4 linked regions of the Struthio camelus genome follow. The protein of the gene in region 3 interacts with the protein of the main gene of each other region in a biochemical or structural test. Links are inferred from orthologs where the notes say so. Each region holds a gene or a part of one and is shown on either strand. Other genes may lie near its edges.

Region 1 (7,472 bases), on a different chromosome or scaffold from region 3:
ATGCCGTCCAGGAGGTACACTCTCCTAACCAACAACGGATGCTATCAAAACTTGGTCTAGTCATTTTGCAAGCATAGATTATCTAGGTGTCCAAGGGAGGGAGATAGTATAAGACAGAAGAAAAGAAGACACTTGCCTGTATAAAGTGCATCTGTACTAGAAAGGTTTGCTGATATATATGTAGCAATTAGCAATAGAAGAGTTAAAGACAGGAAATTGATTTAAGCAAGAAAAAAATGATAACAAAACATAGGAAACAGGATAAATGTGAAAACTGATCAAGTGAAAAAAATATAGCACATTAAGAGATTCCTTGCTCCTCGGAACAAGGGATTTTTCTTTTAAGTTTATGAATTGCCACCTACATTTACAAAACATAGTTCTATTACTGCCAGCATAGGCATTACAAAGGGATAAAACAAAATGCAGTGAATTGGTCATGACCAATCAGATTGTATACATAGTTAACTTCTTACCAGCTTATAAAGGTCTCATTTAAAATACTACACAATATACCACCTTAAGAGCAGGAATGTAATTAATATAAAAGCAAAGCAAAAAAAAAAAAAGAGAAAGCATGAAGCAGAAGTAAAAAGACAGAGGAGTATGTTGTGGGAGTTTTGAATTACAATAGCTAATTAACAGTTCAATACTATTACTAACCATACTTTGGAGTAGGTGGCATCTGATAGCTTTTCAGCATCTTACTAATATTTTTGCTTCTGTTGCTGCTGAGGGACCACCCTTCTGTTACCAGCCTTTGATGCAATAACACATATAAGAAATGAAAGGTCAGGACCTATTATCTTTGAGCAGACTGTAACATCGAAGTTGCTTTTAATGTTACTGATATTGTCCTTGCACTACACCCTCATTTCTCTCTTTCTACAACAGTAAGTAATGTATGCCAAACTCCCACATTCTCTCTACTCAGATCCCAATGAAGCTTAGAGAATTCTTTAAATATCAGAAATATACTCAAAGAGAGTACTACAAAATATGATGCCCTGCTTCAGTTTATACCCACTAATATCCCTGCTTCAGTTTCAAGCCAGGTTCTCCCTTGTTACCCCACTGCCGTTGAGAGGGCTACAGGACCGGCTGTCACCTTTCAAACGAACATCAAAGCAGCCATTTCAATCCATATAAACAAGTGTCACACACCTGCATGGTCATGGGTCCCGGAGGCATCTGAGAACCGTAATTCATGCCCATCATGCCCGGCATATTGGACTGCATGACAGAAACCATCGGAAATCCTTGCTGTTGCATAGGAATCATCCCTACAACAAAACATTAAACGAGGTAAGCTCCCCGACAGTGCTACAGTTTGCTTTTTTGATTTTGTTTTTTCAATTAAACCCATACAGCAAAGGAAGGGAAAAACCTCCCAGTCTTGCTGGACTGTTTCATAAATAAAAAACATACAACACTGCAGGCAGGCAGAGAATTTCCTTAGGTTAGGTGTTGGCCAGTCTAATGGAAGAAATATTATGGGGTTTCCCCAATAACTAAGCTGATGAATCCCTCCACCATCCTGCAGATTCTCTGTGGGTTTCTTCACATCTTATTTCAGAAGGGTCATTTCCAACCGTAACGAGATTTAATTGACCAGGTTGACAGGCATTGATAATTCCCCATTTCTCTTGAAAGGGGAACTTATAAATTAGTATCTTTTGATACAGGAGATAAACTCATATCGTTTTCACAATGAAACTTTCACATTCTAAGCTGGCTGAGTAGATTAGTTAGACCACTACCTAAAAGATTTATCAGTAAAAGCTAAACTTTAACAGAATTGGACAAATCAAGCTGGAACGTATTAATTCACTGAATAAAGCCAAATGGATTATGTTTCAGTATTTTCTCATCTCACATTTTTGCTATCTTGGAGGACACATACTAATAGAAAATACACGCGTTACCAGTATTCTGAGATAACTGTAACTGTGCATAACTTAATATCATAGGTTAAAGCACTCCAGGAGTGACATGACACACGCAGGATCCACAAATCAGTCCCTGAGAAATGGTGTTTTTTCAGAAAATTCTCTCCTCCCCCTACAAGTTCTCTCCGCATTTTCCATTAATTAAACAAACAGCACTGAAACAGGAATGAGAACAAAGGCAATTTAAGGCTGAGGCTCTCCTATTGTATTAATACTTTCCACATAGGTTGCGCCTCTTATCCCAGGGTCTTGCTGTGCTTTGTAAATATTTACCAGGTCTTGCAACACCCACACAACATGGGCATACAGAGCTGGTAGATGAAGCATAAAGAGGTTAAATACTACGTTCAAAATAACAAAAAAATCTTACAGGCAAATTCAGGTTCAAAATGGAGTTCTAACTCCTAGATCTTTAATCTAGCATTCTGGTAATAGCGCTTCTTCAACGTTAAATATAATAAGTTTTACAAATAATGTTGCAAGATTCAGCTTACAGGTACTGGATCGAAGCGGAAAAACAGCTGAGTTCACTTAATAGTCACATTTCTGAGCATCAGCACAGAACAGAAATTACTTTGTATAATGTATCTAAACAAAGGAAAGAACTTAGTGCTCAGAACCTGAAATTCATACATACCTTGAGGAGGGCCTAAACCGCCTGCTACAGGAAACATGAAGCTGGGGAGGGAAGGGGAGGAGAGAAGGTATGTAAGAATCAGTAATTTTAATGCAACTTCTCTACATAAATGACTGCAAAAGCTGACTTACACGTCAACACCACCACCAAACTCTCCTATCTTCTGGTCAGCATATTCATCTGCAACTGCAGATTTCACAGAACAGGACATGCCTACATTATGGAAAATGCCATCCCTCCCAGGGATCCTCAGTGGAGATCCTTCAAAATGACGGAAGAGTTGCACTGACATTGTCAATATTGTCGCAGGCAGCAAAACTAAGGAGAAATAGATCTCACCTGCTGTAATACTACTAAAATGATTTTAACTCATCCATATTACCCTTCAAAGAGTTTTCAGCACCTTTACAAACATGGGCTAGGCCTTCAAGAACTGCAGAATGAATAAGCATCTCCTGCTGGAGGTATCTGATTCAGCTAGATCATTAACTGCATCAGAAAATAGTTCTCAGCTGCTTAGGAACAGTTTTTCTGTAGAGAAATAAATTATCCAACAGTAACTAACAGTAAGTATCATAAAATAATGTCTTTTGTATTTTCTCAATTACATCTAATTAGAAGAAAGGTAGTGGAAAATGGAAAAAAACATTCATACAAGTATCAAGGACTAAGCACACTTGAAGGAAGAACTTAAAAATTCAGCTGAAATTATAATGGCAATTACTAGCCCTCACTTTGAAATGAAAGCATGTGCTGTGCTGCCAAACAGGAAAAAAGACCTAGTTTAGAGGTCTCATTTGCAAGCAACTCTCAGAAACATATGTCAGCAGTAATTTACCAAATGAGAACTTCATTCAATGTCCCAGCCAGCTATTACATCAAAATACTATGCAAAGAAATATATTTATAGCTATTCAATAACCCTCAGCACAAGGGTGGATTTAAAAGAAACTACCTAAAGAGCAAAAGAGAAATGCTATCGTAAATGACTGCAGATAGTTTTAACAAACCTTCAGTAAACTCAGAAAGACATCCTGATTTATAAACGTAAGAGTTGTGCAATAAGAGTACCAAGATAAAATAAGGAATTCGGCTTGTAGATAAACACACAATTTAATTGCAGCTACCTGTACTATAGACAGCAGGTTACATGGTCACCAAGACAATTTACATTACTCTTCATTTCATCCTCTAACTTGGAATCTTTTTAATGCCTTGGCTTTTTCTTTTGCCCTAACCACCAGGATACACATTAATTTCCCCTTCCATAACTAATACACGCTTCTGTGTTCCAACAGGCTCAGATCTTATCATTCTTAATCACCACAATTTTCAGTTTCTATATTTGAAACACTGGGTAGGTGCACCCTATCTGACCTCAAAACAACCGCTGGGACTATCTAGTCTGTTTGAACTGAATCCCATCCAAACTGTGACCAAAAAATATTCAGTTGATGGGTCTTCAGTTTGGTTGTTTTAATCCACTTCTTAGCATACAAGTATTAATATCATGAAGACAAATAGCTGACTTGAAAAATCTTAGATGGACCCATGACCGATCGCCCATCTCAGTCAGAAAGGTGGTTTTGTCCACTCAAGGACCGAAGTCCAGCCAGCTCACTGGATTCTGCCTGCATTGGATTTCACCTATGGAAATAGTTCTTCTGTCACCTGTCAGTAAAGAGTGCCACCTTGGTAACACATCCTCTTAAAACGCGTGTAATTTCAGATGTATGGGAGTTTTTGCCACAGGTCAGACCCACAAGTGCAACAATTTTAGGTATCATAAAAAACACACATTTGTTTCTTGAGAATTACAAAACAGTAAAAGTTAAATTTTAAAAGCTCACAAGTATCAAAGGGTATTCTCAGTTTCATGTTTTCCCTTCTCCATGGGGAATCTGGTCATAGAAACAAGAATTCTTCCGAATTAGCAAACGTAATGTCATCTAAACAAGCGCTGCAAGGTACCATTGCTTGTTGGAAAGCAAATAAAGGCCAGACTATTAAATATTTATCCCTTTCTACAGAACTCCTGATTTATTTATAAGTCTTTGATGAAAAAAAAAAAACCAAAAATGGCAGCTAATTAGAGGAGACTGAAAGAAGAACTAGTTAAACAAAAGCAGCAAAGCAAGCTTCTTTAACACAGTATTGTGTGCGTGCAGCTAGGATCCATCACAGACCTCACCCCAAGATTTAGCTATGCATTTGCCTCGATTAGCTACAAAAGCACATATATAATTCCCCATGAGTTGCTTTATTCAAGCAACATAAGCTTTATTTCTACACTACTTTTCAGAGATTAAAAAAAGAAATGGTATATCTACACACGTCAAGTTAGAGCAACTGATTTTCATCACTGAAAAAAAGTTGTCATAGTAAGTTCTTAGATAAAATTGAAGCACTATAGAAAATTACCGAACTTGAATTACTATATATTGATAGGATCACTATCTTAAGTAACTTTCTTTTAAAGGAGACTTTTTAATTCCAGGTATCTCAAAATAATACTGACAAGAGAATTACACAATAAGCAGAGACTTTGGGAAAAGAGAAAATACACCTGTGGACATTTCTGTTTTTCTCAACAGCAGAAGCGCTTGACCACCTAGGTTCACGCAACCAGCTGTAATGCTTTGGGTAACACAGTAAAAAAAATGTAATTGTGCAGTGTTTACCATAAGGAAAACAAAGTAACCTGGTTAGAGTAGAACTCTCAAAGTAGTAATATAAATCTGCAAATTTCTATCAGATAAGTATCTTAGATACGGAGCTTCAAAAAAGTCAGCTTCATTCAGAAAAGCAAGAGTGCGGGGAGAAGCAGCTCCTTTTCTGCATTCCTATTTTATTGCAAAAGCTCTGAACTACACATAACATTTTCCCATCTGCAACTGGATGTTTAAATCTCCTAATTCCTTGTGAGAACAATTCTATCAACACAATACAGACTAAGTCAGAGTATTTTTCAATGTCAAATTTCTACCCAGAAGTCCACAATAATGAAAGTGAAACGAAGCAAAGCAAAGCAAAGCAAAACACAACACACACACACACACAGAAAGAAGCTTTTCCCCTACTTCCAGTCTTCAAACTCAAAAAACCCACAACATTAACAATGAGAAGCAAGGATTTTAAAATCCTTTTATTTTTCAAAATCTAGAGTTTATTGACAGTTTTTGTTACTTGTTTTAATCACATATGCTTGCTAAGTAGATAGTGTTGCTCCAAGAGAAGGATGGTTTATCCAGCAGCTTGAAAGAACTGTTTCAGATTTATATATCTATGGTGAAATACAAAGATAGCCTCCTATCCCTTCCAAAACATGCATATGCACAAGTATATACTTGAGCTTTTCTCTTCCCAAATGCTTTGCAAACTCTATTCCCAGAGCACCTATGATGCCTACTAATAAATGCAGAGCAGCAACCTGGCTAAAGACAGCTAAAGAAAAGCTCCCTACACACATGCACGCACGTTTCCAGCAAAGGTCGCCACAGCACAGACCTTCCCTCGCTGAATTTACGCTAACACAGACAAAACGGTACGTTCTGGGTATCCAAGAGGAGTCAACGAATTTAAATTCCTGTTGCCAAAGCACAATTTACCCAACTCTGTCCTTCCGTAAAAGTAGGACAGTAGATAAACAGCACAGAAGAGCCCAGGTTAAAATACATATATATAACTAAATCTTCAGTTACAAAGGCCACAAAATACAAAGCTTCTTATCCTTCACAAGTCACAGTGACTTGTTAACACGTCTCATTTCCCAGCGTGTCTTTCTCCCGACACCATTCCTCAATCCCCGACTTTCCCTAAAGTGCCCTTTGCGGGAAGGAGGAGGGAAGGGGCCGTTGCCAGGACAGCTGCGCGGGGGCAGACCCCCATCCCGCAGCAGCCGCAGCCCCCCGCGCCCACGAGCGACGGTTACCGCTGCCAAAGCCTCCGGCCTCCAAAGAGCGCTCGCGAGCCACGCAAACCCCTTTCTGCCCCAATTATCGAGGCAGCAGCTGCGGAGCTGGAATAGCCAAGCGGGTCACCACTGCCGCAGTTTGGGAACCACTGCCTGAACCCAAGGGGTGGGGGGGCAGGGGAGGATACGGCGGGATACTGAAAAAGTGAGCAAATCGCAGCAAAACGCAGAGCCACCCCAGCCCTGACGTGGCCTCTGGGGCGCACCCCGGCCTGGGGCCTCGTGTCTGCCCCTGCGCCCCCTCCTCACCCCCCCTACCCCAAACCTCTGCCCCACGGCCTCTCTGCGCCCCCTCCTCACCCCCCCTACCCCAAACCTCTGCCCCATGGCCTCTCTGCACCCCCTCCTCACCCCCCCTACCCCAAACCTCTGCCCCACGGCCTCTCTGCGCCCCCTCCTCACCCCCCTTACCCCAAACCTCTGTGCCACGGCCTCTCTGCGCCCCCTCCTCACCCCCCTTACCCCAAACCTCTGTGCCACGGCCTCTCTGCGCCCCCTCCTCACCCCCCTTACCCCAAACCTCTGTGCCACGGCCTCTCTGCGCCCCCTCCTCACCCCCCTTACCCCAAACCTCTGCCCCACACCCCCCCACCGCCCCATGGCCTCTCTGTACCCCCTCACCTCACCCCCCTTACCCCAAACCTCTGCCCCACGGCCTCCCTGTGCCCCCTTACCCCACACCTCTGCCCCACGGCCTCCCTCTGCCCCCCTCACCCCACATCTCCCTCCGCCCCCTCGCTCAGGCCGCCATTTCCCCTCACCTGCCCCCTCCTCACCCCCACTCGTGTCCTCCCCCCACGCCCGTGCCCCCCCAGCCCTCACCCACACCGCCCACTCGCGTCTCCCCTCCCCACACCCCCCGCCCGCGGCCCCACTCCCCCCCACGTCACGCCGCCACCGCCGCCGCCTTTCC
Region 2 (7,474 bases), on a different chromosome or scaffold from region 3:
TCTTGTGGCTGTAAAATGCATCAGTCTATCAATAAGCCTGCATCTGGCAAACTTCCAGCTGCATAAAACGTAAAGAGCACATGAAGCATATCCCGAGATGCATTACTAGTTAGACACATCTGCAGTTGTGATTCCTGAAACAGCTTGTGGTACCTAGTCCAGGGAAGTACTTTGAGATTTTTGATAAAAAATACCCTCTGTCCAAAGGGTCAAACTTTTGTACAATGATCTTCCTCATTTCTCAGAAGGGTTATTTCAATAAGCTAAGTGTGGTAAAATGCTGTATCAGGAGCACAGCTGGTCCTTGGCTTTCTGAAACCTGTGCGATGTAAGGCAATCTCTGCTCACCTGTGAGCCGGTCCCCTTGCATTTCCATCGCTTGATCACAGAATAATAATTCCTTTTATTCAGGATGTTTTGTGTTCATGCTTGTTGTTGTTGCTGTTCTGTCAAGCTCCCTATGGTTTAACCCTTCTGCTATTTAGATCCTTAATTCTGCATTTGTAATACTGGAGCTGCTAATCTGCTTTGCACTGAAATTCCCAAAAGCTGAGTAAGTCGTTTCATGACTAGGTATGCAGGAGGCAGGAGTGAGCCGTTGCTCTAATCAGCCTCTTGATTGTTCATGGGCTGTAATAATGCTTTTCCTAGAACAAGCAGGACGAGTCACACTAAATACCTAAGTGTTGTCCAGGAAAAAATAATGGGCTTCCTGTGTGCCAATCCATGATGTAAACCAAACTATAATAAAGAAAGGCACGGACACTTAAGATACTATTTCTGGGGAGACCAGTGGATCTGTTTAAAAAGTTACTAACTTTACTGAGGCCATTTGGTGAACATAAGAGATGCATAAAACACTGGGGACATTAGTGTCTGATTCTCACTTGTGCAAGGCCTTTCTACACTGTCTTGATATAGCACAGGTTTCAAATCCAAGCAAACTATTACAGCAAGTCATTTATGCAGTATCCTGCAACGGGGATTTGCGCTGATACAGTTACGCTATTGCTGTCGTAGCTGCGCTGGTGCAAGCTACATACCCCATCTTTCCTTGCTATGCCAAGAGATTGTTATTGTAAATAATAAATAGATAATAAAATCAAACCTGCTAATGGTTTTGGGTGGGTTCTAGTAGCCCTAGTGGTTCTCCTGGCAGAAAATAATCTGTTATAGGTTACTCATTTCAAAGTAGGAACCCTCTTTTTTGACCCTATGTCAGGAGATAAAATTTCTATTCCAGCCTAGAAGCAGATGGCTATCTCCTTCTGGAAGCTGTCATGCCAGATTCCTATAAATCTACAGTACAACACTTCATTGTCAGCAGGCTGACAACTGTTGTAATTAGAGGCCATGAGATGTCTGAGTCCATGGGCTAGCTGTTTTATCTCAGGTGGTTGGCGGCATCCAGGACAATACTGTCTGCTGGAGACACAGAACACCCAGCAACGACAAAGACCTATCTGAACGCACCAATCCAGTGTTGAATGAATGGGACTCATTATTTTAATAGGCAGAGACCACAAAGATTACCTCAAGTGATCCTCGCGCTCTGACTCTGGACACAGTGCCCACGTACATAATGTCCATGTGTTCTTCAAGACTGTCCATCCATCCCTTAGACGAGCCAAGCACGCTATCCGCATGGCCGGGGTGTGAAGGTTGAAGGTAACCACTTATCAATAACCACCTATCTGGCGCTGCCACGACGGTATCTGAGGCCCTACACAATGCCTGTTAGTTCCCAGCTACCACTGACTAAGCAGCAACCTCAACTCAGTCCGCTGGTGCTGACCAGGAGAGCTCAAAAGCAGTATGAGAAACGCTCTTCGGCTTGCTAGACCACTGTGCTCTTTACAGTCTGAGGGAGCAGGACTAGGGGTTGCCTCCTCTGCCAGGAACCCTGACTGCTGGTATCTCTGCCTAGCCCTGATATCAAGACTCTCAACTTTCCTTTCTCCCTGCCTTTTCCAAGCCCTTCAAACATTTTCCCTTTTCTTTATTTATCTCATTTCTCACTTCAGAACCTCTTCTCCTTGTTGCCATGAAAGTCAGCAGTTTGGCCTCCCAGGCAGTATATGCTTAAGTCTTTCATAGTAAATACCTTATTACCAAAAAAAAAAAAAAAAAACCATCAAAACTGTTTTATCTTGCAGTCACAGGAGGAGAAGTCACTTTACTCTGGGAGTTGTCTGCCACCGCCTCAGTATATACTGAAATAACGTGGCCATCCCATTCTGCTCAGAAGGGACAGGGGACATTTAGTCATATTTCAGGTGAAGCTGCCCTGCATGAAGGACTCTGTTGGCAGAGCTGAGCTTCCTTTCAATCTCCAGCCTTCCTGCACAACCTACTCTACAGTCCCTGCCAAACTTTATTCAATAGCCCGGCTGCAACTATGGGTCTAGTCATGGACTAGGTGGGAGACTCAGTACCCAGCATAAGAGAAAGGGCCGACATCTGCCGAGTCTGATAGCCTGCCCACAAAATCCTGCTCACAACAGCCCTCAACAACATCTAACTGCAGAGCCAGGTCCGGTTACTCGTTTTGCATTTTCCTTCCATTTGCAATGACATGCAGTCTGGCATAACTTTTCTTCTCCTAAGAGGCTGTGAGTCTGCTACCAGATCCCTTCTCCTCACCCAGGGAGAGGAGATGGAGAGAAGGGGAAACCAACTGGTGGAGCAAAAGGCACCCACCAGAGTTCATGGCAATTGGTAGAAAATCAACCCCTTCAAATGTCTCCTGAGGGGCTCCCTCCCAAATGCTAACAGGACCAAATATTGCTGTCCCCAGGAGACACAGCTGTGGTTTTACCATCTCCTGGTTTAATTTCCATATATTAATTATTGTGGGATAGCAATTTTCCATGTTTAATCGAAGAAGAAAAAAATCAACCTAGAAAGATAATAGCCTGTGAAATTTTACATAGGAGGAGTTGAGTGGGAGGTGGCGTGGAGGTGTGACAGTGATAAATATGTGAATGGTGTAAATGTTTTTATATCTATACTGTTGTTTGTTTTTTATATTCTTCCTCTCTCTCAGTGTCTGCTTTTTCTTGCTGAAGCTATGACTGAGAAACAGGGGAGTAAAGCAGAGGTTTTGTAAAACCTTTATGAGAGGATGGGTGCGAAGGAGGGAGCCTGCATGTTTCGTGACAGATGAGAAATAGCAGTTAGTCATGACTGCCAGCTGAGGAAAGGCAGGATGCAGAGGTGGGGCACGAGCACTAGGATAAGCATGAAACTGAACTGAAGAGGGAAAAACGCAGAACAGTAGAGAATTAAGAAGAAAGAAAAAACACATATTGTGAAACCTTTCCAATAAACAAGTATGATTCCTGTTTATTTCCTTTTATCAGCCTGAATGTGTATTTCAAGTTTAAATTGATGCCTGATCCATCTTTGCCTAAGTTAAAAAAAAAAGGGGGGAAATGTTTTCCCTCCACCCTCACGGAGTGAGCTATGACTTGGTAGAGCAAAGAGATCAGAAAAGTAGTTCAAACAGGCAGCGTGCGGCCGTGAGCAGGTACCGCAAAAGTAGCCCGTGCTCTCTTGTTCCCTGGCTCTGTTGTGGCAAGGGGAGATTTACTTGGGGGGAGCTGAGCGCCACGAGGGAGAAAAATAGAAAAAAAATAAATCATGATAAAAGCAGGAAAATAAAAGCGGTGACATGCATATCCCTTTCTGCCATTTTGTACACAGTTGTTTCCCACGGGTTAGGAGAACGCAGGGCAGTTTGCTTTCCACTCCAGCTCGCTCCTCCTTTTCCTTCTGCCTGCATTTTCTCCCCATTTCCTAAGGGTTGTTTGCCCCCTTTTCTGCTTTTCTGTCCTCCATCTAGCCCACTATTCCCTTTATGCTCCACCGAACGCAAACCTTCTCACAGAGAGACGGATATACATGAGCAGCAGTCACCTAAGCGGGTATAGCATCCATATACTCATTTCCTGTGAGCGGAGAGGTCGGGGAGAGGCAACAGGCCCAAATCCAGGCTGACCTTCATTGTTGATGAGCCAGGAAAGGACATGTCAGCTCAGCACGTCCTGTTGGACTCGCGTGCCGTTTCCTCCTGGGCTGTGCTCCCCATCCTGCTGCAATCCCAGACCTGATGCAGCTCCTGCTTGGGACTTCCCCCATCTGTGGGGTCCTGAACCAGAGCCTCGTAACAGTTCAAAGTGCTTGAAGCCCCTGCTGCTAAATATACGGGGCAGAAACAGGGCCAAGAGGGAAGGTAAAAGAAAGGCTAGGAACTGGGAACTGATGGAGACTTCACTGCAGGATATTTACCACTATAAGGCAGGTCCGATCCGAATCAGGCCACAGCTCCGGCTCCGGGTTTTTGTTGCAGCTGCCTAGAGCAGGCTCCGGCTCCGGCGAGTAGGGCCCGGCGCCCGGTTTTGCTCTCGGCTCCGGCTGCCGTGTGCGGGCGGAGGGAGGTTCCGGCTCCGGCCGGTCGGCGGGCGGGAATCCAGTGCCGGGTTTTGGCCGGGGCCAGCTGGGGAAGTTGCCGAAGTTGGGCCGTGAGTGCGGCGGCTGCGGCGCGTCCTTCCTGCTGCCCGGCCGGTGCATGATGGAAGCAGCATGGCCGCCCACCTCTCCCTGACACAGGTACCTCCCGCCGGCTTCCGCGTCGCCACCGCGCTCCCCGCTCTTCCCTGCCGCTCGTCTTCCCGCTGCCGGCGGGCTCCGAGGCCTGCAGCGTGACTGGGGGTGGGGAAGGAGACAGGACGGGACCGGAGCGGGGCCTGGGGCTGACCCCGGCCCCGTCGCGCCGTGGTGGGTGGCGAGGCCGCCTCACGCCGCCCCTCAGCGCTGCCCGGCCGCGCTAACGGCCGCCGGCGCTGTCAGGTGGCGGCGGGGGGAGGGGCGCGTGGCTGAGGCGGGCGGGCGCCGCTGAGCCCGGGAGGCTCCGAGGAGCAGCGCGGAGGGGGCGCCGCAAGCGGGAAACGAGATCCCGGCCGGCTGCGGGTGCCTTTGCCCCGGCAGCGGGGGGATAAACCTGCCGCGCCGGAGCCTCCCCCTCGGCGGGCAGCGCGGCCCTTGGGGCGGGCAGCGCCGCCGCCGCAGCCCGCGGAGCTCCGCGCTGCGCCTGCTGTCATCGCAGCTCGTCTTTTGTCTGGTAGGAAGGCGAAGGCGCCTGGCATTTAAAAAAAAAAAAAAAAAGGGCAGAAAACCGCCCTGTAGGTTTTGAAGGCAGGTGGTAAACTCGGAGGCGAAGGAAGTGCTCGCTGAGGGCTTGAGCAGGGTAGTTCTGGGTTTGGTAACTGTGCCCTGGTGTCTGTGCATGGACCCGCTAGTCCAGCTTCTGTCTTCGGTAGTGTGCTTGAGATATTTAAGTGACCGTATAGGAACGGAAAAGATTTTTGTAGCTTTTTGGAGGTAGTAGCATCTGCATATTAGTGGACAGGCAAGGAGATGAGCTTGGAAGAGAGGGCTTCATCTCTTGTCTTAGCAGTAACCTAACTCCAAAGGTACCATTATTCAGAAGGAACAGCTTGGAAGTCGTTCCCCCCCCCCCTTTTTTTTTTTTTAATTTGCTGCACTGCATGGTGTAGGGATGCCTTTTTGCATACTAGCTGTACAGATGCCTAATGGCAAAGGACTTAGATCGTGGTCTTAAAACTTGGAGAAGGTTAGTACCATTCAGTGTTCAGGTCAACTCACTTTGACTAAGTCTTATTGCTTGTATTTTTTTTTTCCTGGTGATACTATTCCTGATGATATTGCTTCATACAAGCGGTGCTATGCTGTCAGAAATATCTCTTATTCCTTAGAGCTCTGATAGCAATAAGCTGTGCAGTTTTGGTACTTCTTTGTTTCGTTTATCAGTAACATGAGAAACTTGCATTCCTCCATGACATAAGTCTGAGGAAGGCCTGTCAGTGCCCCCACTCTTTTCATGCCTCAGTCTGCTAGTCAGTTACCTCCTTTATATAAAAATAAGGACTAGTAAATAAATTTGATTAATATTTAAGCACATATAAGTAAAATAAAAAGTTGGTAGTAAGACTGCTCGTTTTGTAGTTATTCCTACGTGTAGCTGACTGTTGAGGAAACCCTCAGCTGTTCCATGGAAACGCGGGACAGTGCGGTGAAAATCAGAAGCTCACCTATGTTGAGGAACTAAAAATGTTTTTAAAGGTCTAAAGAAATACAGTTATAAAGTATAGCACACTGTGAAAGCTTGCTTTGGTGTTCCAAAGTGTGAGGTTGGCCTTTTCTGTTTCTCTTTTTTCGAAAGTTTTCTAGCAAAAGGGAAAAAAAAAAAACTTCTTACTGAAGAGGAAAAAAAGCCTTCTTAAACCAGTAACCTTAATTCAATATGTTTGAAGGCATGGAGTATTCTGGCTCTTTTGGGGGGGACGGGAGAAATATCTGCTACAGCACATTATGCAGTAAGACATTATTGCTTACAAGCTTTTTTTGATCACATGGGGGAAAAAAAAAACTGTGAACAGAAATGTGATAATGTTGACAGAAGCAGAAGAATCACCAGTGTCCTTAAAACTGTCATTACTACAAGTTAAGCTATTAGTTAAACTAAGAAAGTTATTTCTGTTGTTATTGAACATTTCTATTTTTTGGCATTGAAAAGTAGCTTTGGGTTTATTTGATTTTTCTCAGATGAGTGTTTCTTCATTGTGGGTTTTAATTTCTGGAATTTTGGTGTTATGAGAAAATAGTAACAAATCATAAGTGTCTGAGTCAGTTTAGATACAGTGAGAGAGGTGAAAATGGTAATAATTGTGCTTGGGAGAGTGGATAAGATTACTAGCTGCAGTTAGATCAATAACAGGGACCAGCCAGAAAAAGTAGGCAGATTGTTACATTCTGCTGTGGACCATGTGCAGGGAATAAGAGGCATATTTGGCTGTAGTCAAGTCAAAATTGTCTCATTTTTTTTTCCTTTTCCTTTGTTTGGTTTTGACTGTAATTTAACACAACTAGGAAGTAGAGTGTTTCCAAAATGAGACGAGGGTATTTTCAGATGGTTTTGCAGCTGCAGTATCTGAGAGGGCTAGACATCCTTTATTTGAATATTGTAGCGCTGTTTAAGTTACATGAAACTTTTTAGTGCTAGATGGTAGATTGCATTTTGTTGGCTGATAAGCACAAATATTTCAGGACTGTGTAATTGTAATGGAGTATGTTACAGTGAGTATGCTTGAAACGTGTTGCAAAATGAAAGTGATTATTCCCCCCCACTCCCATTTAGTAATAATCTGAAGTGTCTTGTTCTCTCCACCTTGAGCCTATTCTGCAACATCTTGTTGCCACTTGCATTTGTTCAGTAAGTATTACAGTCTGGGTATAACTGTGAATTGAATATGAAACTTCTAAGAAAACTTCTACCAAGGAAATGTTTTGTTGTGGTTGCCTTTAGTTGGGAAGCAAGCTAGCAGAATCAATGAGAAGGAACTGTTTATATCTGGAATATTGTGTCATTTGTTGTTGGAAAACTCAAATTAAG
Region 3 (7,053 bases):
TAGGATGTCCAGCATACAACATTTTATCAGTGTTATAAAAACATCTTCCAGTTCAATCGTATGTAAAATGTGGATGAATCTTCAATAATGCTGCATTACTAATTCCTTGCCTGGCTTTTGCCTACTGCAAGCTAGCAGGTAACTATTTTACAGAACTAGGAGAGAGTTCTTCACAGCAATTTGAGGTTTTCTGCACTGGCTGAGCAGCTTATTGTGGTTATTTCAGCTTCCTGATTTTATTCATCTTAAACAGACCTTCAGAAAATATACATTACCATTCTGAAACAGTGGTTACATCAAATGTAGTTTGCCATGTGCATTCAGGACCAATGCAACTTTATATTCTCTTCCCTCTAAGGAAGCTGAATAGGATCATGCAAAGCAGCACAAGACTAAAACAGTCTTGTACAGTCAACAGCAGTAGATTTCTAGATTGAAGATACCATTATTCTAACATAATGAAAAAAATCTGAAGTACTCAAAGTATCACCATCAGGAGTAAACTCTGAGACCCTGAAACCTCAAAACAGGTGTTCATGGAGAAAGAGATGGCACCCTTACTTCTTGATGCAATTGGTCATAAGAAGATGGACATCCTGTCGCTCATCCAGCAGCAACATGGCACCTAAATACCCAATGCGCTTGTCTGTGAATTTCTGAGAGGCAATGAGCTTGAGGCACTCCAACTGGAAAACAAATAAAAAGGACAGAATTAGCTTAGATTACTTCTTCACTAAAGAAGAAGCGATTTGAACTTTTACGTTCACATCTTAGGTCTCTCAGAGAACGTGTCTAAAAAAAGTATATTTTCTTCCCATTTTGGTCATAGGGAAAAAACAACAAACAAAGGTTAAATGATCTGCCCGAAGCTCCCAGCAAGCCAGTAGCAATGCCGGGGCAAAGCCAGTAGCAGCTCCTTTATCTTGAAGTAGACATTCACTGCTGACCTTCCATGACCTCTGATGTACCAGATATGCCAGTTAAGTCAGAGTACAAAAGCAAAAAACATGTTTAGAGATGTTCTGTAGATCAAGAACTCTCATCTTTCCTGTCTCCCTCTTCCATAGTCTACCGGAGGAATAACGTGCCAAAAATAAGCTAAGAGATTGAGAAAACTGGAACCAGCATTCACCAGGTCACATCATTAAAATAGGGGTAAGGAACAGCAATGTCTTACAGCAGGGCATAGACTAGTTATTATCCGCCTAGAACAAATTACTGTAGAAGGTGGTGGTTACAGAACCTCCTCTGAAGCATCTTGCAATTTCCATCATCAGAGACATAACCCTGAAGTGCTGTTTTGAACCCATCTAGAAATACCCATATGTACTGGGCGCGGCAGAAACATGGGCAGTTAGGAGCAGACAGTCTGGCAAAAGCAGAATATTTTGTTATGAAACTCATACAGTTATCTAAGAACAAATCTCAAATAGCAAATCCCACTTACATGGTCAAAAACTAATGCAGATTCAGAACGTGTCAAGACAGACCCCCAAACGGCAGACAACAAAACTACAGCTAATAACGCTCTAAACCAGGCAATGTACCCAAAACACACAAAGCAGACTGGCATGCGCACATAACACAGCAAGCACCAAAGTCTGACCTACCTGTCCAAAATGCGCGGGGTAACCCAGCATGTGCATATACAGCAGCTTTGCCACATTTCTGCATCGGTACGTGTTATCTTCCTCTCTGAAGGATGATCGGATAGCAGCACATTCCTTTTGGATCATCTCACGCTCTTCTGCCTGGGTTCTTGCTGTCCGGATGGTCCGGATCAGCTCCCGCAGTCTGATAGGGGCTGGCATCCTCTGGGAGGAAGAAAGATCTGTAAACCCTCTACTGTACCTGATGACATCATAATTGCCTCATATTTTAGCATAAAGAAAATTTATTTCTTATCCCACAATTACAAAAATGTAAGGAACAAGAAAATATAGACTGCTTCAGGGCTTGGTTAAAATGAAACTTGAACACCAGAGGAATTCTCTATACACCCCAGGAATTTAAGTTCTCATCTTTGCTGTTCCATTTTCACAGAACATTACAGACAGAAGTTGCTATGCTCTGAGCTGGCTATCAAGTGAACATAACATGACTCCCCACTTGAAAGGGGAAGGAAAGGAACTTGGCAATGCCTGTTCTCACGTTCACATCTTCTGACTTTCTCCAGAAGTCACGCTCAAATAGAGATGATCCCAAAACCTTGATGAATTAGGACGCAAATCCTTCACGAAAAAAAATCAATGCTGCTTAATAAAGAACACAAAATTTCAGAGAGGTGTTTCTGATATCTATGCTTCAAAAATTCTGCCTCCTTGTGCTATGCACACTTCTTTCTTAGAGGGATAAAAGTAGGCAGAAAAAAGCAGACTGCAAGAGCAATCCTGACAGTGTGGATACATTTCAGAGACTCTTCTTTAAAAAAAGAAAGAAAGAAAGAAAAAAAAAAAGGCAAGTTGACACTGTCCCTTTATTACACACCAGCCAGAACAATCTTTTCTAAAACAAATAAGCCCCTCACATTATCATCTGGTGGCACTGTGTGAAAGGAAAGTCTATCCTACATGAACTCTGAGCAGTTTCATTTTACCAGATGAAACACAGATTGAGCTGTCTGACCCAGACAGCAATTTGTTTTCTTGAATACCCAAGAGAGAAATGGCTTTCTAAAAAAAGTCAAACTTAAGAATTATATCCAACAGTTGAGCATTCAAGTTCTTATACTCACCAAAGCAGTCTCTTGACTTTTTAGGAAGACCAGGCTATGCATGTACCTCACAATCTTTTTTCACGCATGCAAGACTGAAGATAACTATTCTGATGACACATAAATGTCCTGCCAACTTGCAAGAACTTATTCAGCATGGCAGTCTGTTACAGATTTTGTCTGGGTCACCATTCTCCCAAATCAGTGTCTCACACATTTCAAGCGCTGCCGTATCACAACGAATCACTTGCACACACGACGCAGTATATTGGAATGCACGAGGGACTAGGCAGGCTGAGAAGCATACTGAGCTAGTAGCGGACTTGTTTGCTAAAGAAATTAAACACAAACAATGAGTAAAGGTGGCCTCACAGTAAAACAGCTGAGTGCTGTTCTACAGATCTGGATTATAAACCTGATCTGCTACAGAATTCACACATAACATTAAGTTACTTCAGTCAAACTATGTAGCGCCTCATATTCCAGTTGCCCATCTTCATATCTAGAGCTTGAATTGGCAGAAACATTCAATTTTGAAAATGAAGAGTTGCTCTTTCAGCATAAGGAAACTCTGCCCTAAGATGCCTCAAAGTGAAGGATCAAGATTATTGGCTATTTTAGTCCTTAGTCTTGCCTCGCTTCTCCATACATGAGGTTAATAACAGTTCCTCACATTACTGTGATATGAAATAAATTAGTGCTTCCTAATCATTCAGATGCTGCACTAACGAGCATCAGAGAAACGGTCAAGGGAAAGTACGAAATCAGTCTTCAGAACAGTATTTGAACGTGCATTAAAAAGGCCGTTGAGTGCTGCGGTCACGTTCTTTCAATGATGCTTGCCCAACATTTCTGAATTTTTGAAAGCAAACTGGAAAGATTTTCTTCAGGCAGCATCATATCAATATGTACATGGGGAAACCATTGGCTGGGTGTGACTCCCTAGACTGGTAACACGGAGCTCTGCTCTTGAGCTAACAACTGCAAGCGACAGTCCTAGAGCACCATCTTTCTAGCAGCAAGGTAAAATTCTATGATCGCGAGAGACCGAACATACAAACCCTGCTGAGAATCGGGAGCTATGCACTGGAACACGTTTATTGGACACTGCCTCTGGAGGCTGTAGCTTCTAAAGTGCAAGTCTCAAAGGAGCATGCACAAACCAACTTTTCAAACGTTGTTTGGCCAAACTGGAACAAGATTTTCACAGAAACAACACAATATATCCTCAAAACAAAAGGACAACCCCTACCACTTGCATAGGTTCAGCCAGAACCATGAAGGTTCCAAAGCTTTTCAAATAAAAGGCAGTTTAATTCTATCGGTTCCCCCCTCCCCCTATATCCTCTCACCTACCCATAATAAAATACTTTTCCTACCCTGAAAGGACAAAATAGACTTATCTAAAATCCTGCAACAAGCCTCTGACAAATGCCTTACTTGAGAAATTTCAGACTAGCAGAGATATTAAAAAAAAAATCTGAAAATAACTTAAAAAAAATGAAAGCATGGTTTTAAACAGCATGTAAAATTAAGGTAACTGTGTAAAAGTTAATTACTGCAGAGAAAGCTAGAGCGTCGGTTTAGTGTGCAATGTTTGCTTCACAGTTGCTGCCTGGTTGTGTTGCTTTACTCTGTGGTAATTTATTCCTAGTGAAAAGAGATAGAGAGAGTAGAGTGTATGCTGTTACTGGAGAGTCGTTAACCTGCTGTCAACTACGCCCTAGCACATTCCTCAGTAACTTGCCTGCCTAGGCCTATCCTTAGAGCGAGCCTTCAGAGCTGAAACTCTGAATAAAACTTAAGGCACAGGGTTTATCTACCTGGGAGGCTATTCTGAAGTAAGATAGGATACAGTCCCCCAAGTTCTGTGCATCCTTGTAACATCACCAGTTTAAGTTTGTTTTAAAATGATCACATCAGAAGTGGTTGAACCTAGGCTATAAATAAATAAACAAATAAAATCTGGTCTTATGAATCTCCTACAAAAGCTATTCTTAATTCAAGTTGAACCCTCATTTCTGTCAACTCATTCTACTAATTTACATGAAGAACATGTTCTAGGCACCCTTCACTAGAAACGTCTCTAGTATTTTCTAACTTAAGAAGGAACTATATCTCTGTGTTTACTGAATGCACAGCCAAAGGTGGCAGAAAGCAAAAGAAACATAACGGCCATACCAGGTCAGACCAAAGCTCCATCCTGTTCAGTATCCTGTCTGCAACAATGGCCAATAGCAGAAGCCTAGGGAAGAGTATAAGAACAAGGGCAAGCACTTAGCAACACTTCCCCAGAATACTCTTGCAGTCTCCAACATTTTGTGGCTCAAGAACTTCCAAAGCCAGACATTGCATCAAATCTTCACCAGATTTGCCTCGTTCTGTTTGGAACCCAGGTAAACTTCTAGCATCAACAACATCCTGCAGAACAGAGTTCCAGCTTGATTGCACACTGTGGAGAACCACCTCCTTCACTTGCTCTGTATTTTCCCAACTGCTTGGTTCTGTTGATGCTTCCAATTCTTCTGTTAGGAGAGACAATAACAGTCATTCCCCATGTAGCTTTTATGTGAAACTCATGATCTTGTATTTTCCATTTTTGTCTCCCGCTCACTCTCTCCAGTCCATGACTCCAGGTTATCTTTGTTACATTATCTGTGCATCCTACAGTTCTCCTATGACCTTTCTGAAGGGGTGGGAGGAAGAAAGGGGGAAAGTAAAACTACAGACAGGATTTAAAAGATGGAGGCGCCATTGTTTTTATACGTCCTATAAACGTCTTCTACTTTTCCCCCCATTACTTCCTATTCATTCCTAACAATCAGTTTGGGGTTCCGATTGCTACAAAGCGCTCGGCTTGTGTTTTTCATAGAACAGTCTTTCATAAATCCAAAATCTCATTCCTGGATGGCAACGGCCAGCTCAGAGCTCATAATTAAGTTCAGACTGCCCTCACACGTACACACCATGCATTTCTCCACCAGTTTTGTCCACCCAAACACTTGCTGAAAAATTTGGAAAAAATAATTAAACCACAACAAAGTAAGAACACTCCACTGCCAGAATAATCCTTTGCAGTCTGAGGCAACAGTCTCAAAATCACTAAGGTGACCTATGTGCAGGCTAATGCTGAAAGAGGTGGTCTCACTCTGTCCCCCATTGTACTGACATTCACGTTCCTGAGACACAGAGTATCAGCTCAGGCAACCTGTCCACCTGGAAACCAGCTTGCCGCTTTCCTCCCAAAAAGAGCAGTTTTCAGACAGATCGGTTTGGCTAGCGCCGACACAAAGGCGGCATCAAGAAACTACAGCTTTGGGAGATTTGGGGTGAAGTTCTCCCTCCGGCAGTAAACCACACTTAGGCTATGGTTCTGCAGTCTAGTTAAGTTGATCTAAATCTTTAATGTTCCTGAAAAGTTAGATAGGGGCTATTACAAGTTGAAACTTTTTTTTTTTTTTTAAAGGAAAGAATTCTTTGCAAACTTTTTGAAAAGTTCTAACGCATAGTTTGCAAATAGACTGAAGTTTGGCAAGGAGTTGTTTTAAAATCAGAAATCCTTTTAGCTCCCATTCTGTATTCGAAGAGATTATAAACTGCTGAACGCTGATACCGTCAGCCTGAGACTTGTACAACAGCATAGCTTTCCTGGCCACATGCCTGAAACTCATTCTGTAGGTATGCGCCCATAGAGGACTTAAGCATTTTAAATTAAGCTTGGCCCTAGACAACACAAAGTAAAAGGACAAACTGCCCTTTAGTCAAGGGGAAACAGCACTGAACAAAGTTACCATATATTCTAAGCACAGCTTTTTATGAATATTAATTCTTCTTCCTTCACAGACATTTAGGCAAGACTTCCTACCTCACTGACAGGAGAGGTAAAACGAAAGCAAACGCTGGAGATCTAATACGATTTCACCCCAAGGTGAAATCCATTTCACTGAACTGAACAGAAATGCATAACCTATACTTACAAATGCTCTTGCATAAAACAAACAATTAGCAAATCACATTGTAAAGATTATTTCTCCTCCTCACATCACAACCACAGGAAAGTTAGCAGAAGCTAGCATTTAGGAAAGCAAGCAATTCAAGAATAAATAAATACTGCTGATGAAATGATAACTACATTATGAGGCTACCTCTACTTTACATTTAATTGTGTAATATGCTAACAGGCAGTTAGTACAGACAGTTCAACCTGAACTACCTCCTAGGAGCAATCATCTCTCTCTTGCACACTTCTTGTCTGATAAAAGCAGGACAATTAGGAACTGCTCTGAAGGAGGACATCATAAAGTGCAAAAGACAAAACTATTGCTTATTTTCCAACACGC
Region 4 (7,799 bases), on a different chromosome or scaffold from region 3:
GAATTGTATTTAATTCTAATCAAGGCACTTAAAATTGAAAAGAGGGGGAGTTATATTAGCAACTACTGAACAGTGAGGTTAAAAAGAGGGAGAATAAGATAGCTCACAGTATCTTGTCACATCTTAGAACAGTCTAAATCTAATACTCTATCATGTAGTCTTTCTAAATTTCAAAAAGGGCCATGATTTTATACTACAAATAACTACATCTTACGCAGAAAAGGATGCTGACCTATACTTAGAATTTCTACAAAATGCTACAATAAAAACAATAGTGATGATTCTAGTGCAGCAGAACCAGGGAGCAGAACTGACCTATTAAACTTGATTGCTCAGCTTCTGTCAAACTGAAGAAAGCAAGAATACTAAAAGTTTCAGTAATACTAACTACAAACTTGAATTCATTTCATACTTTGCAGTTATTTCTTAAAAATTTTAGGTTCTAAAACTTTGAAGGTTTTAATAGCTCACTTCACTTACATATTTTTAAAAAATGTAGAAACACTGTTTGTTCAAATAGCCCACAAAGATTAAGTAAGTTTACTTAAGTGACTTAATCACATATTATGGCTTTCTAAACTTTTGTACACTGAAGAATCTGATAATTGTTTAATACAGGTTCGCCAACTTGACACATCTCTGATCTAATCGAGCTGTCAGCCACCTAAAAGCTCAAGTAATGGCAAATTAAAAAAAACAGAGGAGGAAGTTGAAGTTCTATGATAAGCATCAGCTGAATATAGAACCAAGATGTAGAGTTAACACCACAACCACCACCCCTCTCCCAAACCATCAAAGTTTGAAATGTAAGGCTATTCGCATTTTCCAAAACCACTATTTAATCATATTTAAGAAGGACATTCTTACTAAAGTTCAAAATGTCCCTGCCACAGCATCTGCAGTTATTCAAAAGGAGGATAACATGGCACAGCCTCTTCTATAGAGAATTTTGTATCTCGTGGCCTTAAGACAGAAGACATTATGACAGATCTGTCCCAAACACAATGGGACTATTGATTTTGATGCCTCTAAATGCTATTCACTCTTCAAGTCTTAAAAAAAAAAAAAAAAAAACACTATACAGTCCTCTTCCCTTGTATAATGTTACTCCCTGAAATCGAAGACTATTCAGAAGTATTTTTCCATCATTTGAAAAGGTATGGTTAAATATATCGCACAACTTCTTGTGCTTGGTTTAAAAATTGAAAGCCTTTTCCGATACAGGTTTTGATGTACTGTTTGACTTAATAACTTATGAAATATCTTTAAAAGTAAATATTTTAAATATAATGATAAGGCGTAGCAATATTATATCAATCATTAACACTAACCAATTAAGATTACACAAGCAAAACTTAGAGAAGCTCGATTTCCCCGAAAATGTCCTTTTAGGTCCTGGAATTCAAGATGTGCCTGGGATCAGGGTTGTCCTACTACGTATAATTTGTAACATTATTAAAACTACCATCCTACTTAAGCAAGGGTTGACTTTTCCTGTAAGAAGTTGTTAACAATAAAAAGGTAAACAACTGTCTTGGGAGGAGTTTTATTCACAGTGGTTTTTAAATGTCATCTCTGACTCTCAGCCTACAGAAGTCTCAGTAAGGTATACTGCATTATAAGCTAAAGAAATATTTACTATCACAAATAAGTTACCATTTTCTCTCCAGTTTACCATCTTTAAACTCCACATAAAATATTAGTTTAAATACTCTTTGGGGAAATCGAAGTAAAATAAAGTTCAAAATGGGACTGCACTCTTGAAAGACTCACCTTGACTTCCAAGGCTAGGCACAACTATTAGATCATGTAATCTGATCTGGTAGGTATTCATCTACAGAACTTCAGCCAGTTATTCCTCTAAGAAGTCCACAAACTCATGGAAAAGTGTTTTGAATTTGCCCCTAAAGATTATTTAAGGAGGCAAAATATAATTTTTGTTCTCCATCGTATCAAAAGTTTTCTCACATCTTAAATTAAGAAGTGGTAGAGAAACAAAACAATAATGTCATGCTCTCACAGCACAACAGGGTGTTCACGATTATTATCGCCACTGTCAAGCTTACAGTGGGAGGAGGTTCTATTCAAGGAAATAAACCTGCAAACACCTGAACTATTTAAACGTTTAAGGGCTGGAATAGAGTATTTCACTCCTCTAACACACTCCACCTCTAAGAGGCCCAAGGGCAGTGAGTCAATGGCAGTTACAGCAGGGATCAGTCCTTAGGGAGGAAGAAAAAACTCAGAGAGAGAAAACAGTGACTTTGGAAGCACTCTGAAAACTGATCGCTGTACAGGTGGTTCCCAACTCCCCTCCTTCTTTCTAGTTCAATATTCTAGTTTCTTCCTAAGGGGCCCTGTGGCCATGACAGGAGCCGATCCGGCCGATTATAAGGGCTCATGTCCCAAAATGGGCACACACCCACCGGGACCCTGGCAGGGAAGGGTGTATCCAAAAGAAGAGGCGCAGCTTTCCAAGATCTGGCAGGGCCCAGAAGAACCAGAGCGAGAGGGGAAAGCCACCAGCCATAGTGGGAAGGCCACAGACTACCTGGAGGGCAGCCCTTGGCTGTCCGAGGGGCCAAAGCCGCGCCGGGTGGCCGAGCAGGGGCCGCGCGGGGCAGTCCCCCCGGCGAGAAGGGCAGGGGACGGGGCGCAGGGGGGCGAGGAAGGGGCATCAGCCGGGCGCCGAGGGGGCGTGAGGCGGCCGCCTCGGCAGAGGAAGGCAGCGGCCATGATGCGGGGGGGGGCCCGGGCCCCGCTGAGGGGGCTCGAGCCGCCCCGGCCCCCCGCCCCGCCCCGCCGTACTCACGCCTTGTCCACCAGCTCCCGCACTTTCCACATGTTGAGCATGGCGCTGACCGCGCGGAGACCTCCTCGGCCTCGCTGCTGCCCTCCTCCTCCTCCTCCTCCTCCTCCTCCTCTGCCGCCGCCGCCGGCCCCACGAGGCCCCGCTCACCGCGCTCCGGGCAGCCGCCGCGCCAGGCCCGCTCCGGCTCGTCGCCGCCTCTGCCAACTAAGGGACACGGCACGCACCCGGAAATGGAGGGACAGCTGCCGCGCGGCCTGATGGGATATGTAGTTTCCCCGCCGGCCGGGCGGAGAGGCCGGCCTGGCCTCGCAAAGCCTTCTGGGAGCCGACCGCCAGCCGGGCGCAGAGCCCGGTGGGAAGTTTAGTCCCCAGTGAAGAGCGCGCACTCTCCGCGCAAGGCCCCCTGGGAGTCGTAGTGCTGTGGCCTTCTCCGGGGGGCGCGGCGGCCGCCCGGCCCGGCCCGGCCCGGCCCGGCTGCTCGGGCCCAGTAAACACTTTTCCAGCCTGCGGTGGGACTGAGGTTTCTGTCCTCCGCGGCTTAGGCCGCAGCAGCCGCAGTCTGATCTGACCTACCGTTGCCCTGCGGCTCTGTCTAATGCCGGGTTAGCTTCTTGACTCACCGCCAACTTAGGCACCAGAGGGAGAGAGGTCTATGCAAATGGCTGGTTAAACCACAAAACACAGGCATAAAAGTCACGTCTGACTAGCATATGGTTTTATACCCCACTTTTATTACGAGGAACTCATTTAAAATTCTGTCTTTATGACTTCTTGTTTGCTGACCATGATGTACGAACAGCCTTCCGGGGCAGTGGGTAGACTCTGTGGAGGCCTCCGCAGGCCTGGCTGCAAGGAGCAGAGATGCCCAGCAGGAAGAAGCACGAAAGGGTGAAGTGTGTTGAAGGTAGTGAGGCCCGTCTGGGCATAACACGTGCAGGAACCTTGTCTGCTGAAGAAAGATCAAGTCAATTGAGAGAAAGCCAAAGAAGACTCATATGCATTAAAGCTGCCTCAGGAGAATAGTAACTGTTTTAATGTGCTTGTCAACAAGGGTTGCAAAACCATCTTCAAATGTTGCTTGCTTATGCAGGGTATTGAATAGGAATCACAACTCCCTGGATATAATGAAAACAGTGAAGCCAAGGAAGTGATTTTATAATCAAGATCGTGAGACAGTTTCATTATACATTTAGTTTTGTTATCTGTGTATCTATCAACTTGTTTTCAACATGAATTTTGAATGACTAGTCCTGAGGAATTTTTTTCTCAGAAGAGATGAAAGTCAGTCCGCTATCTCTTTGCAAGTTACAGGGCATGAACAGAGTGCCTGGATATTATGGTTAGTCTGTATTATATTCTTAAAGTATATTTCTTGCTTGTGTGGTAGGAGAATTACACTATTACAATTACACTTGTCAGCATACTTCAGAGAGCAAATTGTACGGGAGAGTTGTAATGTAATGCCTGTGCTTCATTTTAAGAAAATTACAGAAAACATACATGAATGTGTTTCGGCTAAAGACAACATATATCTGTAAACTTCTATCTTTCATTGTAGTTGTCTTTTCAAAATAGGCACAACAGCATTTGAAAGATCAGCTGCGACTTCCCTTAGTGGTCAAATTACAATGAGTTCTTCTGAAAATTAGTTGTTCTTTGAACTAATCAGGAAAAAGTGCAAAAGCAAACACCTGATCACCTGCCCACTTTCTGACATCCTGTTATATCTTTTTACGTAGGTACCCCCATGGTTTCTATCTTCCAAACATGTAAGAGCTGGTGAGTGTGGATGGATCAATCCCCAGGTATAGCTTTCTCATTTCCAGTTTTCTGTGGCTTAGGGATTTGGTGCCGGAGTATTGGTGCTAAAGCTTTGCATTTAAGATCACTTGATGGTTTTATGGTTTTATGAATTTAACTGATTGTTTTTTGAACCCATTTATTTTTTTATCTTACACAACGTCTTGTGGCAATGAATTCTACAACATAGCTATGAGTTGTGTAAAAAAATGCTTTCTTTCATATGTTTTAAACTGTCTGCTTAACAGTATTGCTAGTTCAAGTATTACGAGAATTAGTATACAATAATTCCGTGTTGCTCGTTTTCTTGACAGTTTTGGATTTTTAGGATAGGTCTTATGATATTTGCTACTATACTGTTCTTTCCACTGTGCCTAAGACTCTTATTATACTTAGTTTTCCCTTGTGCAGAAGTTGTGCGATATATTTAACCATACCTGTTTAGTTCTACTGTATCTGTTTTCAAACTGAAGGGGAGGAACTAGCACTACATGCAGTATTCAAGATACAGGTCACCCTAATGATATTTTCTCTTTTGTTACCAATTTCCCTCATAAGCATTCTTAACACGGTTTGCCATTTTGCATGCTACTGAACACCAAGCTGGAATTTTAGTTTGCAACAGAACAATTACGGTGGCTGTTTGTGGCTGTGGTAATTTTGTGTTTAACTGAACTCAGCACCAGTTTTGCTGTGCTCACTGTCCCCTCTGCCATGTGCCTTTCCATCATGGACCAGGAATGAGGAGGTCCTTAATTTCATATTGTAACCCCTGCCAAAGCAGGCAGGGTGAGGACCCTTGCTTTTTGTTATCTGCCCTTCATTTTTTTGCAAAAAGACTGAGGACATTGGTCTTCAGGAGTAGGAGGGAAGAAGAAGAGGAATTAAGTATTGCAACTGGAGCTAGCAAAAAAGCAAAGTTTCTGATTTGCTATTGTTATTTTGAAATCTGGCTTCACTCCATATTGGATTAAAATGAAAGTTCTAAATATATTTCTGATGATCTGCAAGTTCCTCAGATTCTTCTGCGGTGCAATGAAATTGATGTTCTTGTCAGTGTTGGCTTCTTTGAGCAACTGTAGGCCAGAGTCCTGAGCGCTGGAACAGACCTGCCATAAGTTGGCAGGTCTGATGGGCTGCAAAAGGCAGTTTCCAGGGTCCAGACTCTGGCCACGCTTGGCAGGTGCACATGCCCCGGAGGCAAATCCTCCCCTTCCTCTTCCTTTCTTCCCATCATGGTTAACATTTGGAATGAAACAGTTGGAGGTCAGTGAACCCTCAGGGTTTGATTGATTTGTTTTTTACCAATCTGTGTTTCCATCAGAAAAAATTAAGACTTGCTCTAATTATACATTTCAGAATAAGAGAATGAGTAGGGAGAGAGCATTTTAGGCATAGCAAAGTAACAGCATATGCAGAAGAAAGATAAAAAATAAAACTGGAATGTAAAAGCAGTTAAGATGAAGGTGCAGGTCTTTTAAGCATTACTAGCTATGTCTGGATGCAGTAATGGGGCAAGGAGAGATGAATGGCATTTATTGTCAATTTCAGGGTATAGTAAAAAGCAAGTCTTTATGTAAGATTGAATGCAACATGACTGACAGTAATTTTGCCATCCCCATTTTGTCAGCTGCTGATAAAAGTGCATGAGCATATGTATAATTTCTGAATGATGTGAAGACAACTTTCTGGTGCATAAGTAGTTGCTTTACAGAAAGATCTGATCAGTGTAGGTAGAGGGTAATGCAGTTTCAAAGCAATGCAATATTCAGCATAACAGGTAGTAGTTGTAACATATATCATGCAGAGGAACTGTATTTTATTATAATTCGAGCCATCAGTTACAGGACAAGCTGTTAGAGAAATTGAACTAATTTGAACACTGCAATAGAGTTTGCACCTGGATATTCCAGAAGTTAATATGGGCCATTTGGTGCACAAAAAGTCTTGCACATTCCAAATGCCTGGAGAGCAATATTGTTGTCAGTCTCAACCATATTAATGCCCGGCAGAGATATATCCAAATCAGTGATTAATTTACAATTAAAAGGAAAAAAAAAAAAAGAGGAGTCAAGAGAAAACGCATTAGGATCAGGGAACAGAAGCAGTGGCAGAGATTGAGACAAACTTTTCACTTAAAGCAACATTTGTTTTCCTGAGTTCATCAAGCTCCACTTTTTACCTGCTTACAGAGCTGAAATCTGAATTTTCTAAAATATATTTGTTTTAAGAATTGGTTCATAGTGCAGAAGAAACACTGAAATAATTTTCTCCATTTGTAGACCAGTTAGTGCCCCAAGCTTTTCTAAACAATCACAGTTCTCCAAATCCCAATCTCTGTATTTCTGTAATATATGCCATACACGCAAACTTATACACGTGCACTCCTATAAATGGTCTCTAGATGGGCTGTTTTGGAAAATGTCTCCCTGCTCTGCCACAGAACATTCTGCTTCTGGTAAGTAAAAGTGGCAAAACCCTCCAGTCACTTCCATGGTCCTCAGTCTGTTTGCAGAGGTTCTACCACTCATCACCTGAGCTCATTTCACACTCCTTAGCTCAAGGAGAGCGGCTTGGGGTACAGGCAGTAGTGGGGGATGTGAATGCTCCCTATGATAAGTATATGGAGAATAAAAAGGAAAATCTGGTAGTGATGTATACTGTTCCAGCTATATCCCTCCTAACGCTGGTCTTTTCACTCCTACTCTGAAGTGGTACATCCTTTCACCAGCAGCACTTTCATGCCCAGGACGTCTCATTCATTACAGAGGAATGTTCTAGGTAGCAAACTTCTTGAAAGTTTTCTAAGAGGTGAAAATGATCCTATTTTAAGCTTCAGAGCCAAGACTGCAAAAGCATATTATGCTTGCAGAAGACTGGAAGCGCAGTACAGAGGTGGTGATTTGTCTCAGAGGCTGGGAGGGCAACTTTGCCACTCAGACAGCCAACATAGCACTAGCACTTTTTTGCAAGAAGTCCCCACAGGTATTAACCTCAATATTAACCTCAGTCTGCATTCAGCCCTAGTGCTGTTGCCTTTCCTAGCCTGAAGAAAGGAATGCTGATTCCATATTGTGGGCATGTGGATTTCACTCTGCCCATCTCCTCACAGTCATTGAAACAGTAGAACCATTTCAGCTAGATTAGGCAAACGTGGTGACTTCTCAAAGTGCATTACAAATTTATG

The links.
Region 1: the proteins of AP1G1 (region 3) and SYNRG form a complex in vitro, tested with the Homo sapiens proteins (2 studies listed by BioGRID). The link is inferred for Struthio camelus from reciprocal best matches to the Homo sapiens genes AP1G1 and SYNRG.
Region 2: the proteins of AP1G1 (region 3) and EPS15 form a complex in vitro, tested with the Homo sapiens proteins (2 studies listed by BioGRID). The link is inferred for Struthio camelus from reciprocal best matches to the Homo sapiens genes AP1G1 and EPS15.
Region 4: the proteins of AP1G1 (region 3) and CLINT1 form a complex in vitro, tested with the Homo sapiens proteins (2 studies listed by BioGRID). The link is inferred for Struthio camelus from reciprocal best matches to the Homo sapiens genes AP1G1 and CLINT1.

The regions. Positions count from the first base shown.
Region 1 is NC_090957.1:20,416,199-20,423,670, forward strand, and holds the start of SYNRG (synergin gamma), read right to left. Parts: upstream 3,014-7,472; 5' UTR 2,879-3,013; coding exon 2,718-2,878; intron 2,628-2,717; coding exon 2,587-2,627; intron 1,284-2,586; coding exon 1,165-1,283; intron 1-1,164. UniProt on the Homo sapiens protein: Plays a role in endocytosis and/or membrane trafficking at the trans-Golgi network (TGN). May act by linking the adapter protein complex AP-1 to other proteins. Component of clathrin-coated vesicles.
Region 2 is NC_090949.1:31,182,819-31,190,292, reverse strand, and holds the start of EPS15 (epidermal growth factor receptor substrate 15), read left to right. Parts: upstream 1-4,469; 5' UTR 4,470-4,584; coding exon 4,585-4,611; intron 4,612-7,474. UniProt on the Homo sapiens protein: Involved in cell growth regulation. May be involved in the regulation of mitogenic signals and control of cell proliferation. Involved in the internalization of ligand-inducible receptors of the receptor tyrosine kinase (RTK) type, in particular EGFR.
Region 3 is NC_090951.1:429,100-436,152, forward strand, and holds the start of AP1G1 (AP-1 complex subunit gamma-1), read right to left. Parts: upstream 3,018-7,053; 5' UTR 2,777-3,017; coding exon 2,735-2,776; intron 1,815-2,734; coding exon 1,611-1,814; intron 687-1,610; coding exon 562-686; intron 1-561. UniProt on the Homo sapiens protein: Subunit of clathrin-associated adaptor protein complex 1 that plays a role in protein sorting in the late-Golgi/trans-Golgi network (TGN) and/or endosomes.
Region 4 is NC_090954.1:11,009,451-11,017,249, reverse strand, and holds the start of CLINT1 (clathrin interactor 1), read right to left. Parts: upstream 3,019-7,799; 5' UTR 2,854-3,018; coding exon 2,813-2,853; intron 2,021-2,812; exon of another isoform or gene 1,774-2,020; intron 1-1,773. UniProt on the Homo sapiens protein: Binds to membranes enriched in phosphatidylinositol 4,5-bisphosphate (PtdIns(4,5)P2). May have a role in transport via clathrin-coated vesicles from the trans-Golgi network to endosomes. Stimulates clathrin assembly.